3 linked regions of the Saccharomyces cerevisiae S288C genome follow. The gene in region 1 interacts genetically with each later gene. Each region holds a gene or a part of one and is shown in the gene's direction. Other genes may lie near its edges.

Evidence for each region.
Region 2: mutations in OXP1 (region 1) and ERR1 together harm fitness more than expected from each alone (negative genetic interaction), as found in Saccharomyces cerevisiae (2 studies listed by BioGRID).
Region 3: of OXP1 (region 1) and MET17, extra expression of one rescues a mutant of the other (dosage rescue), as found in Saccharomyces cerevisiae (one study listed by BioGRID).

Annotation. Positions count from the first base shown.
Region 1 is NC_001143.9:26,306-32,666, reverse strand, and holds OXP1 (5-oxoprolinase), read left to right. Parts: upstream 1-1,979; coding exon 1,980-5,840; downstream 5,841-6,361. Other genes in the region: DOA1 (Doa1p), read left to right, coding at 1-707; YRA2 (Yra2p), read left to right, coding at 974-1,585. UniProt on the Saccharomyces cerevisiae protein: Catalyzes the cleavage of 5-oxo-L-proline to form L-glutamate coupled to the hydrolysis of ATP to ADP and inorganic phosphate.
Region 2 is NC_001147.6:1,078,535-1,082,089, forward strand, and holds ERR1 (phosphopyruvate hydratase ERR1), read left to right. Parts: upstream 1-1,741; coding exon 1,742-3,055; downstream 3,056-3,555. Other genes in the region: HSP33 (glutathione-independent methylglyoxalase family protein), read right to left, coding at 11-724.
Region 3 is NC_001144.5:730,805-734,376, forward strand, and holds MET17 (bifunctional cysteine synthase/O-acetylhomoserine aminocarboxypropyltransferase MET17), read left to right. Parts: upstream 1-1,737; coding exon 1,738-3,072; downstream 3,073-3,572. Other genes in the region: HRI1 (Hri1p), read left to right, coding at 21-755; YLR302C (uncharacterized protein), read right to left, coding at 1,387-1,749. UniProt on the Saccharomyces cerevisiae protein: Catalyzes the conversion of O-acetyl-L-homoserine (OAH) into homocysteine in the methionine biosynthesis pathway. Required to efficiently reduce toxic levels of hydrogen sulfide generated when the sulfate assimilation pathway (SAP) is active.

The DNA of each region.
Region 1 (6,361 bases):
ATACTATTTTCAATGGAATAGTAAAAATAAATTCAAATGAGAAGACCTTTGATGATGAAATTCTGGCGCAAATTGGTGGCGCACTACATGACATAGATGAAAGCTGGGAGTTGCTACTTTCATTTGCTAACACTATAAGATCTAACTGGGAAATTAAGACTCCTGCATACGACATAGTACGATTGATTGTAAAAAAATTACCTTATTCTTCAGATATAAAAGATTACATCGAAGAAGGCTTGGGCAATAAGAATATCACTCTAACCATGTTAACTGTGCGTATTTTGGTAAATTGCTTCAATAATGAAAACTGGGGTGTGAAATTACTGGAATCAAATCAAGTTTATAAATCAATTTTTGAGACTATAGATACTGAATTTTCTCAGGCATCTGCTAAACAGTCACAGAATTTGGCTATTGCAGTTTCCACACTAATTTTCAACTATTCAGCTCTCGTCACGAAAGGGAACTCTGATTTAGAACTTTTGCCTATCGTAGCTGACGCCATCAACACCAAGTATGGGCCATTGGAAGAGTATCAAGAATGCGAAGAAGCCGCATATAGGCTAACCGTAGCTTACGGAAATTTGGCTACTGTTGAACCTACATTAAGACAATTTGCCAACTCCGTAACTTGGCTTGCAAACATCAAAAGGAGCTATGGGAACGTGCCAAGGTTTAAGGATATTTTCGACGATCTCTCCTAATACTTTTACAGCAATCATATAAAACACATAATGTCTAGATAGCAAATAATCTTTAAAATTCTTTCTGCCCTATTGAAAATTATGACAAACTATCACGGTCATTTTCTGTCTAACTCGGCAAGAAATTATCATCGTGAAATGAAAAAGGTTACATACAATAAGGTTATTTTGAGTACAGACTGATAAATAGATGGAAAAGACTAAAAAACTGAAACGATAAGCGTCTAGTACCTTTTCCATTAGACGATTCAATACTGCATTTTGCAATGGACAAAGCATTTGACGAAATTATTGGAAATAGTCACACAGACAGCTCATCTAATCATAAGGTAACGAGATACCGCAGAAGGGATTTAAGAAATGAATTAGGACCTAGACTGGGATTTGCGCCTTCGGATGCTGCATCAAGGTCGAAAGATCGCCTTTATAGAGAGAGGGAAGAGCCTCCTTTGCCTAAGAGAATTAGAATATCCAAAATCCCACTAGACGTTTCTGACTACACCCTCGATGATATGATTAAAGAGTTTGGCTCGCCAATATTTTCGAAAATTTTTGACAATAAAGAGGATCGTACATGTATTTACGAATTTGAAGACCCAGAAGTTTTGGAAAAGATTGTCGAGCGTTATAATGGACATGAGTTACATAATGCAAAAATTGAAGTGGAGATTTACCAACCACAGAGAAAGCATTCTAGAATGAATGCCCACAACCGTCGCAAACAGACGGCTCAAGAACACGGAAGAGGCAGGCCAGGGAGCCATTATCGCCAAAAGCCTAACAGAGTCTCCAAAAAGAACAAGGGCCGTGAGAAGAATAACACTCCTACTTCTGTCGAAGCTCTTGACGCTGAATTAGATGCTTACATGAAAGGTTAAGCAATTGTGTATCTACTTATAATTTCTTTATAGTCTTTTCAATGTTTTTTTACTCCATCAGTCTACAGATATGAAACCTCAGTACTACTTTTTACCTAAATAATTAATTTTTATTTCTAGAGGGTAGCAATGATAAACACTTTACCAATCTCTGGAATTAAGAACAAGCGTACTCCGCTCTATTCAGTATTATTTGCATGAATACTTCAACAATTGTTTTGTTTGCCTCAGGTGCTTTTCCGATTGAGCACGATCGCCATAACATTACCACTGAAAAGAAAGATAAGATCAAATGTTACGTGGTGTTGAAGAAAGAATGCCAAAAACTAAGAACTGAACTTAAACAGTAATAATTTTGAGCATTGAAAACCTAAATATAACTTCTTGGTATACAATGCAGAAAGGAAACATAAGAATTGCCATCGATAAGGGTGGAACTTTCACTGATTGTGTGGGGAATATTGGTACAGGTAAACAAGAACATGATACTGTCATCAAGCTCTTGTCGGTGGATCCCAAAAACTATCCAGATGCTCCCCTTGAAGGCATAAGACGTCTCTTGGAGGTGCTTGAACACAAGACAATTCCTCGCGGTATTCCTCTAGACATCTCTAATGTGAGAAGTTTAAGAATGGGGACAACCCTAGCTACAAACTGCGCTCTAGAAAGAAATGGTGAACGTTGTGCCTTCATTACTACGAAAGGCTTTAAGGATTCATTGCTGATTGGAGACCAAACCAGGCCAGATATCTTCAACTTAAATATAAAAAAGGTAGTGCCATTATATGACACTGTAGTTGAAATAGATGAGAGAGTTACTTTAGAAGATTTCTCGGAAGACCCTTATTTTACCAAATCGTCTCCTAATGAACAAGAAGGTATCCTGGAAGGTAATAGTGGCGAAATGGTAAGGGTCATAAAGAAGCCAGATGAATCAAGCGTAAGATCTATTCTGAAAGTGCTTTATGCTAGCGGAATCAAGTCTATTGCGATAGCATTTTTACACTCATACACTTTTCCAGACCATGAGCGAATTGTTGGTAATATTGCCAGGGAGATTGGGTTTTCTCATGTTTCATTATCATCTGAAGTCTCTCCAATGATAAAATTTTTACCGAGGGCTCACAGTTCTGTCGCAGATGCCTACCTTACTCCGGTAATTAAAAAGTACTTGAATAGCATTTCTGCAGGTTTGAGCCACGCAGAAGATACCCACATTCAATTCATGCAGTCTGATGGTGGTTTAGTGGATGGGGGAAAATTTTCCGGTTTGAAATCTATTTTATCTGGTCCTGCAGGTGGCGTAATAGGTTATTCTAGTACATGCTATGATAAAAATAATAACATACCCTTAATAGGCTTTGACATGGGAGGAACATCTACTGATGTCAGTAGGTACGGCGATGGGAGGTTAGAACATGTTTTTGAAACTGTTACCGCAGGGATCATCATACAATCTCCTCAACTTGACATCCATACTGTTGCTGCTGGAGGAAGTTCTATTTTGTCATGGAAAAACGGGTTATTCAGAGTAGGCCCTGATTCAGCAGCTGCTGATCCAGGCCCTGCAGCCTACAGAAAGGGCGGGCCTTTGACCATTACAGACGCCAACCTCTTTTTAGGACGTTTGGTTCCTGAGTTCTTCCCCAAAATTTTTGGGCCCAATGAGGATGAATCACTTGACTTAGAAACCACTACTTTGAAATTCAGAGAATTAACAGATGTCATCAATAAGGATCTGAATTCAAATCTAACCATGGAAGAGGTTGCCTATGGATTTATCAAAGTAGCTAACGAATGCATGGCAAGACCTGTGAGGGCCATTACAGAAGCAAAAGGACATGTAGTATCTCAGCATCGGTTAGTTTCCTTTGGCGGGGCTGGCGGGCAACACGCCATAGCGGTTGCAGATTCATTGGGCATTGACACTGTTTTAATTCATAGATATTCTTCTATCTTGTCCGCTTATGGCATTTTCTTAGCAGATGTTATTGAAGAAAACCAAGAGCCTTGCTCTTTTATCTTGGGTGAGCCAGAGACCATCTTGAAAGTGAAAAAAAGATTCTTAGAACTTTCTAAAAATTCAATCAAAAACCTTTTATCTCAGTCGTTTTCTCGGGAGGACATAGTCTTGGAAAGATATTTAAATCTCAGATATGAAGGTACTGAAACCAGTTTGATGATATTACAAAAATATGATGACCAATGGAATTTTAGGGAATGGTTCTCTGAAGCTCATAAAAAAGAGTTCGGATTCTCATTCGATGACAAACGAATTATAATTGATGATATAAGGATAAGAGCAATTGGGAAATCAGGCGTTAGAAAAGAAAAAACGGTTGATGAGCAATTGATTGAAATTTCCCATTTCAAGAAAGCCGACGTGTCAAAGGATGCTAGTTTTACCCAGAAAGCATATTTTGACAACAAATGGGTCGACACTGCGGTCTTCAAAATTGATGATCTTCCTGCCGGAACAATTATCGAGGGCCCAGCCATATTGGCTGACGGTACCCAAACAAATATTATTTTACCAAACAGCCAAGCAACAATTTTAAACTCTCATATATTTATCAAGATCAACCAAAAGGCTGCGAAGACATTATCTAAAAGCGGATATGAACTTGATATAGATCCAATCTTATTGTCTATTTTCAGTCATAGGTTTATGGATATCGCCCTCCAGATGGGTACTCAATTGAGGAAAACTTCTGTTTCAACTAACGTCAAAGAGAGATTAGATTTTTCATGTGCACTATTCGACTCTAAAGGAAACTTAGTCGCTAACGCTCCTCATGTACCTGTTCACTTAGGATCAATGTCAACCTGCATATCAGCACAGGCGAAGTTATGGGAAGGCAAATTAAAGCCTGGTGATGTTTTAATCACAAACCATCCGGATATTGGTGGTACTCATTTACCAGACATAACAGTAATAACTCCTTCTTTCTCTTCAACTGGCGAATTGATATTTTATGTGGCTTCAAGAGCCCATCATGCAGATATTGGAGGTATTCTACCCGGTTCAGTGCCTCCAAATTCCAAAGAATTGTACGAAGAAGGAACCGCAATTTATTCCGAATTGGTTGTCAAAGAGGGAATTTTCCAGGAAGAATTAATTTACAAGCTTTTCGTAGAAGATCCAGGCAAATACCCAGGCTGCTCAGGTTCAAGAAGATTTAGTGATAACATAAGCGATTTAAAAGCGCAAGTCGCAGCTAACACAAAAGGGATACAGTTAATTGGGTCATTAACTAAGGAATATGATCTGGCTACAATATTGAAATACATGGCTGCAATTCAGACAAATGCATCTGAATCCATAAAAAAAATGCTTGCAAAAATGGTTGAACATTTTGGCACAACGAAGTTTTCTGGCGAAGATCGCTTAGATGATGGAAGCTTAATTAAACTACAAGTTATCATAAGACCTGAAAAAGAGGAGTATATTTTTAATTTCGATGGCACTTCTCCCCAAGTTTATGGTAATTTAAATGCACCAGAGGCTATTACTAATTCTGCGATTCTTTATTGTCTACGGTGTCTAGTAGGCGAAGATATTCCTTTAAATCAAGGTTGTTTAAAACCCTTAACAATAAAAATTCCTGCTGGTTCCCTCTTGAGCCCCCGATCCGGTGCTGCTGTTGTCGGAGGCAATGTATTAACTTCCCAAAGAGTGACAGATGTAATCTTAAAAACATTTAACGTCATGGCAGATTCTCAAGGTGACTGTAACAACTTTACATTTGGAACTGGAGGAAATTCTGGTAACAAAACCGATAAGCAGATCAAAGGCTTTGGATATTATGAAACCATATGTGGCGGCTCGGGGGCTGGTGCAGATTCATGGAGAGGAAGTGGTTGGAATGGCTCAGACGCTGTACACACGAATATGACCAATACAAGAATGACAGATACTGAGGTATTTGAAAGGAGATACCCCGTTCTGTTGAAAGAGTTCTCGATCAGAAGAGGTTCAGGAGGCAAAGGTAAATATACTGGCGGAAATGGCGTAGTAAGGGATGTTCAATTTCGGAAGGCTGTAACAGCATCTATATTATCAGAACGTCGTGTCATTGGCCCTCATGGTATAAAGGGAGGACAAGACGGTAGTAGAGGTGAGAATTTATGGGTAAGACATAGCACAGGCGCATTAATCAATGTCGGCGGTAAAAATACGATTTACGCTCAACCCGGTGATCGATTCATCATTAAAACCCCTGGTGGTGGGGGATTTGGACAATACAAGGATTAAAGCATTTCTTTTTGGTTCTTAGTCAATATCGAATTACACGGAACCATTGGTATACCGTGGATGCGCCAGCCACAAATTGACTTTTACAGAAAGTACAGTTTAATTATATAAGAACAGGCACTTAACAATGTTTCGGAACTCTGTAGATAAAACCAAATTACTCTTTCGAAAAGGCTACATTCTACATCAAAATCACCTGTGCAATATATATATATATATATATATATATATATATGCACATATTCGTTAATTTCTTCACTTTTTTCCCCAAATATTAAACAGATGGCTTCATTTCTTCAACATTATTTTCTGGTTCCTATGCCATTTTTAGCCTACTAATAATTATCGTTGAAAAATGTTTCTTGAATAAGTCTTAATGTAAGGATATATCATATGTTGAGATATAAAAATTTAAGTATAAATGAATCAAGACAATAATTTACATTGATTAAGTTATTTCAAAGTATAAGTATTTAGTATCATCATCTATTAAAGCACATTGAACCCTAATGTATGATGCC
Region 2 (3,555 bases), on another chromosome or scaffold:
GTCTTTTGTTTCAGCTATATAATGCGTTTATAGCTCTAATTGTGGTCGAATAGGAAGAATTTGCGTTAACACCCGTAACTAGCTTTCCATCTGTAATAGAGTAGTCATCCCAGGGATGGATTGGCGCCAAGTACTTGGCTCCATTCTTGTTTGCAACGCGTTCAACCGTTGTCAATTTTCTGCTCCTCAAGATGTCGTCAACTCCCAGGGCGATTTCACCCTCGAGTGGGAAACCTGTTATAGCTTTGCCTTCGATTAATGGTCTTGTTGTTTTGATATCTATTAATCCATCGAAAAGGAGCGGTCCATGACAGATGGCAGCGATCACACCCCCATTGGCATATATCTTGGATGCAATATCTTGCAGATTTTTAGCTTTGGGATAGTCAAATAGAGCACCATGTCCAGCAGATGCAAAGAATACTTTATAGTCGCTGGCGTTGACTTCATTTGCGGTCTTGATCCTCGCTAACGCCTTATTGAAGGCGGAATTTTTCGTTTCAAAGTTCATCTTATCTTCGCCACCAATAAAGCTCTTTGGCAAGTAATGTTCATCCCAGCCAAATCCACCAGTCTCAGAAACGAAGTCCACTTCGAAACCATGCTTTTCGAATGTATCGAACGATCGCAAAATCTCAACTACAAAAACGCCTGTTTTCGCACCATCTTTGTAGAAGGGACCGTGGTATGAAGTAAGAGATATTAGCGCTCTTTTTGGAGTCATTGCAAGGCCAGTTTTCTTTTTGAATGAAGGAGAAAAGTGTTCTAGAAATATGTTTTAGTTCTAAGTATCGTTGTCTGGAGCAAGCAAAGAAAAGCAGACCTGTATGTGCAACTTTCCTGTTTTCCATTAAAATCTCAAGAACCGACCCCTTGACTGTGCTCATATATCAAGTATCGGTTTTAAAGTCCCCTAATTGTGATAATTGCAAGAACGACAGTCAGAAAGATATTTTTTTTTTTCTTTCTCTTTACCTATCCTCCATAAAAATACCTATGCTGATACTGAATATCTTCATTTGCAGCTATGCAATATTTCAGATACCCCATTTTACCCAAGAGTTTCTTACTGGTGGTTGGATTTTCTTTAAGACGAGAAGATTACCAGTCCTGGATGTTCGTGAATGTGCCTATTGCGTCATCAGCGACTCCGCGCCAAGAAAAGAAATACTCGCATGCTCGGATTTATAGAATCGCATAATGGAAATACCTTCCTTAAAGGATGGAGATAAGGAAAAAATGACAAGAACAAGGAAGTACTTGGGAGCTTTCTCCGACATGGTAAATATTTGAAACTCACGCAGCTCTCCTGGAAAGTTGGATCTGGAAAGGTAAGGTTGTTTTTTTTACAGACATCAACCAAAATCGGTTCTTGTAGTAGACAATGTCACAGATCGCCACAAGTTGAAAAAAAAGTTTCGATGAACTGGATAAGGGGAGAGGTCACAAACAAAGTGTAGGGGGTGAGTAGTATAGTGGTAACTTGTTCATTTACCTAAATAACATTCTCACTAGAAAAGAGATATTGAAAGACTCCTCGTTTACCTAACTTGGCTGGTTCTTAGGTATATAATAGAAACATGGATCTGGCAGGTTATCACTTACAGTTTGCACTCCCACCAGGTTACAATTTTCATTATATATAGTTATTTTTTACCACCACTTCTTCTTCTTTCACTTTGTCTTGCAATAGAAATACCAAAACAAGGTGAGGAAAAAATCGAATCTCAACGATAAAAATATGTCCATCACGAAGGTACATGCTAGAACGGTGTATGATTCTCGCGGCAATCCGACTGTTGAGGTTGAAATTACAACAGAGAATGGTCTCTTCAGAGCGATCGTCCCATCTGGTGCCTCCACCGGCATTCACGAAGCTGTTGAACTTAGAGACGGGAACAAGTCCGAATGGATGGGAAAAGGGGTGACCAAGGCAGTCAGTAACGTCAATAGTATCATAGGGCCTGCTTTAATCAAGTCCGAATTATGTGTAACCAATCAGAAGGGCATAGACGAGCTCATGATATCGTTAGACGGAACTTCTAACAAGTCAAGGTTGGGCGCCAATGCTATCCTTGGTGTTTCCTTGTGCGTTGCTCGAGCTGCTGCCGCACAAAAGGGAATTACTCTCTACAAGTATATAGCCGAGTTAGCGGATGCTAGACAGGACCCCTTTGTTATTCCTGTTCCTTTTTTCAATGTTTTGAATGGTGGAGCCCACGCCGGTGGCTCTTTAGCTATGCAAGAATTCAAGATCGCGCCAGTCGGGGCTCAGAGCTTTGCAGAAGCCATGAGGATGGGTTCGGAAGTTTACCATCATTTGAAGATATTGGCGAAGGAGCAATATGGACCTTCCGCTGGAAATGTTGGTGACGAGGGTGGAGTTGCCCCCGATATTGACACTGCCGAAGACGCCTTGGACATGATTGTGGAAGCCATTAACATATGCGGTTACGAGGGTAGAGTGAAAGTAGGAATCGATAGTGCTCCTTCTGTTTTTTATAAGGACGGGAAATACGACCTAAATTTCAAGGAACCGAACTCTGACCCATCTCACTGGCTCAGTCCAGCCCAGTTAGCAGAATATTACCATTCATTGCTAAAGAAATACCCAATCATTTCCCTGGAAGATCCCTACGCCGAAGATGATTGGTCCTCGTGGTCTGCCTTCCTAAAGACTGTCAATGTTCAGATTATTGCAGATGACCTGACATGCACCAACAAGACCAGGATCGCCCGTGCTATAGAGGAGAAATGTGCGAATACTCTGTTGCTGAAACTCAACCAGATCGGTACTCTGACTGAGTCTATTGAAGCCGCCAATCAGGCTTTCGATGCTGGATGGGGTGTAATGATATCGCATAGATCAGGTGAAACCGAAGATCCGTTTATCGCTGATTTGGTCGTTGGTTTAAGATGTGGTCAAATTAAATCGGGCGCTTTGTCGAGATCAGAAAGACTGGCCAAGTATAATGAACTTTTGCGTATCGAAGAGGAACTGGGGGACGATTGTATATATGCTGGTCATAGGTTTCATGATGGAAACAAACTATAAAGGATTGTCTTGTTTCCTTTTTTTTTTTTTTTTTTTTGTTTTTTTATGACTAAATAAAGTAAATCATATGAGGTTTTATTTTTTATTTCGTTGATTTGGGTTACAGTATGGAAATGGGGCATTTGACACAAGTTATTTTATTCATATGTTTTATCTTGTAGGAAATCAAACCGTTTTTAAAGTTTTCCATTGCCTACACACAAAATCATTACGAATCTGTCTGAACAAGGGTGGACGTGTGGGGGAAGGCTGTTCCAATCAAGAAATGCTTACAACTCTACTAACACTGCAGTTTTTCAGCTTTCTGATTAATCTCTTCGGTTTAAATTTTTTAGCAGCTATTACTTTCTAGTAACCCTTATAACGCGGTTGGTATCAAATCTTCCTGATAGTACAAGCAGACCTTTGACCCCATTCTTGTTGTGTCTTGAAATCTTTTTTTCTGACAAAAGTAAGAAGTTACACCATAATAGAGAAGTTAAATAATGAAAGTGTATCGA
Region 3 (3,572 bases), on another chromosome or scaffold:
AAACAAAAAATTAAGTTACAATGCCAGCATTATTAAAAAGATTATTGTTTCAAGTGGGTCCTCATCCAAACGAAAGAACATTCACCTTATCCTCTGTTTCAACTGATGGGCACTATATTTCCTTGAGACCATTTGTTAAGCCAAGCGGTGATGAGTTATCTTTTCCTTTCGAATGGGCCTTTGCCGGTACAAACGAAACAGTTAAAGCTAATGATCAAGGAAACGGTGTCGTTACTCAAGATTTCAATTTCTGGTTGGATACAAATGTGTACTTGAACGTTCCAAACACCCATCGTGGCGAAGTGAACACCACTTGGAAAAATTGGGATTCTGGTTGTGTCGAGGAAACAGGCGCTGTTTACCCATTCGGTGCCGACAAAGAAAGCGTCTCTTTCAGAGAATTGTGGCAACCAGTTGACCCATCAAGAGAAGATCTAGTCATCGTCTCACCAAACAATGAGAAGTTCTCGTCGAATGCTAGGTCAATTGTCCTCAAAGTTACTGACGAAGCTTATGATGGTTTGGTTATTGTTATTGGTAGATGGATTCAAGGGTTTTTGTCCCAAAAGAATAATAACACTATTGAAGGCTTGAACTTCATCAGATTACTTGAAAAAGATTCAGGTAAATCTGAGTTCTTATTAAGCTACGGTAAGGAAGTAAACAAAATTCCACAAAGCTACGAAAATTTGAAGAAAGGTTCCACTGTAACCAGCAATGGGTTGAACTGGGAAGTTATTGAATATCACGCTTAATAAAGGAGAATAAATCGTTTTCTACTTTCTTCTGCTGCTATAATAAGCACCTATGGGATCTATATAGTATTTTTATAACGATAGACTTTATAAAAGAAAATACCTAAGTGAAAATTTGGTGAATTTTGAGATAATTGTTGGGATTCCATTTTTAATAAGGCAATAATATTAGGTATGTAGAATATACTAGAAGTTCTCCTCGAGGATTTAGGAATCCATAAAAGGGAATCTGCAATTCTACACAATTCTATAAATATTATTATCATCGTTTTATATGTTAATATTCATTGATCCTATTACATTATCAATCCTTGCGTTTCAGCTTCCACTAATTTAGATGACTATTTCTCATCATTTGCGTCATCTTCTAACACCGTATATGATAATATACTAGTAACGTAAATACTAGTTAGTAGATGATAGTTGATTTTTATTCCAACACTAAGAAATAATTTCGCCATTTCTTGAATGTATTTAAAGATATTTAATGCTATAATAGACATTTAAATCCAATTCTTCCAACATACAATGGGAGTTTGGCCGAGTGGTTTAAGGCGTCAGATTTAGGTGGATTTAACCTCTAAAATCTCTGATATCTTCGGATGCAAGGGTTCGAATCCCTTAGCTCTCATTATTTTTTGCTTTTTCTCTTGAGGTCACATGATCGCAAAATGGCAAATGGCACGTGAAGCTGTCGATATTGGGGAACTGTGGTGGTTGGCAAATGACTAATTAAGTTAGTCAAGGCGCCATCCTCATGAAAACTGTGTAACATAATAACCGAAGTGTCGAAAAGGTGGCACCTTGTCCAATTGAACACGCTCGATGAAAAAAATAAGATATATATAAGGTTAAGTAAAGCGTCTGTTAGAAAGGAAGTTTTTCCTTTTTCTTGCTCTCTTGTCTTTTCATCTACTATTTCCTTCGTGTAATACAGGGTCGTCAGATACATAGATACAATTCTATTACCCCCATCCATACAATGCCATCTCATTTCGATACTGTTCAACTACACGCCGGCCAAGAGAACCCTGGTGACAATGCTCACAGATCCAGAGCTGTACCAATTTACGCCACCACTTCTTATGTTTTCGAAAACTCTAAGCATGGTTCGCAATTGTTTGGTCTAGAAGTTCCAGGTTACGTCTATTCCCGTTTCCAAAACCCAACCAGTAATGTTTTGGAAGAAAGAATTGCTGCTTTAGAAGGTGGTGCTGCTGCTTTGGCTGTTTCCTCCGGTCAAGCCGCTCAAACCCTTGCCATCCAAGGTTTGGCACACACTGGTGACAACATCGTTTCCACTTCTTACTTATACGGTGGTACTTATAACCAGTTCAAAATCTCGTTCAAAAGATTTGGTATCGAGGCTAGATTTGTTGAAGGTGACAATCCAGAAGAATTCGAAAAGGTCTTTGATGAAAGAACCAAGGCTGTTTATTTGGAAACCATTGGTAATCCAAAGTACAATGTTCCGGATTTTGAAAAAATTGTTGCAATTGCTCACAAACACGGTATTCCAGTTGTCGTTGACAACACATTTGGTGCCGGTGGTTACTTCTGTCAGCCAATTAAATACGGTGCTGATATTGTAACACATTCTGCTACCAAATGGATTGGTGGTCATGGTACTACTATCGGTGGTATTATTGTTGACTCTGGTAAGTTCCCATGGAAGGACTACCCAGAAAAGTTCCCTCAATTCTCTCAACCTGCCGAAGGATATCACGGTACTATCTACAATGAAGCCTACGGTAACTTGGCATACATCGTTCATGTTAGAACTGAACTATTAAGAGATTTGGGTCCATTGATGAACCCATTTGCCTCTTTCTTGCTACTACAAGGTGTTGAAACATTATCTTTGAGAGCTGAAAGACACGGTGAAAATGCATTGAAGTTAGCCAAATGGTTAGAACAATCCCCATACGTATCTTGGGTTTCATACCCTGGTTTAGCATCTCATTCTCATCATGAAAATGCTAAGAAGTATCTATCTAACGGTTTCGGTGGTGTCTTATCTTTCGGTGTAAAAGACTTACCAAATGCCGACAAGGAAACTGACCCATTCAAACTTTCTGGTGCTCAAGTTGTTGACAATTTAAAGCTTGCCTCTAACTTGGCCAATGTTGGTGATGCCAAGACCTTAGTCATTGCTCCATACTTCACTACCCACAAACAATTAAATGACAAAGAAAAGTTGGCATCTGGTGTTACCAAGGACTTAATTCGTGTCTCTGTTGGTATCGAATTTATTGATGACATTATTGCAGACTTCCAGCAATCTTTTGAAACTGTTTTCGCTGGCCAAAAACCATGAGTGTGCGTAATGAGTTGTAAAATTATGTATAAACCTACTTTCTCTCACAAGTACTATACTTTTATAAAACGAACTTTATTGAAATGAATATCCTTTTTTTCCCTTGTTACATGTCGTGACTCGTACTTTGAACCTAAATTGTTCTAACATCAAAGAACAGTGTTAATTCGCAGTCGAGAAGAAAAATATGGTGAACAAGACTCATCTACTTCATGAGACTACTTTACGCCTCCTATAAAGCTGTCACACTGGATAAATTTATTGTAGGACCAAGTTACAAAAGAGGATGATGGAGGTTTCTTTACAATAAAGAAGCACATGTGTGTTAACGTTTTTAGTATTTGCTTGTTATGTAAATCAGGAAAACTTCGCGGGATTTGGTTGGATGCTACTTTCCATACAATAAATATTATAGATCTAAAAAGCCAAATTACAAGTAAAGATTAGTAAAGCTGTTGGAATTCCATCGTTGATAAAAATGTTAGTTATTAAATATAAAA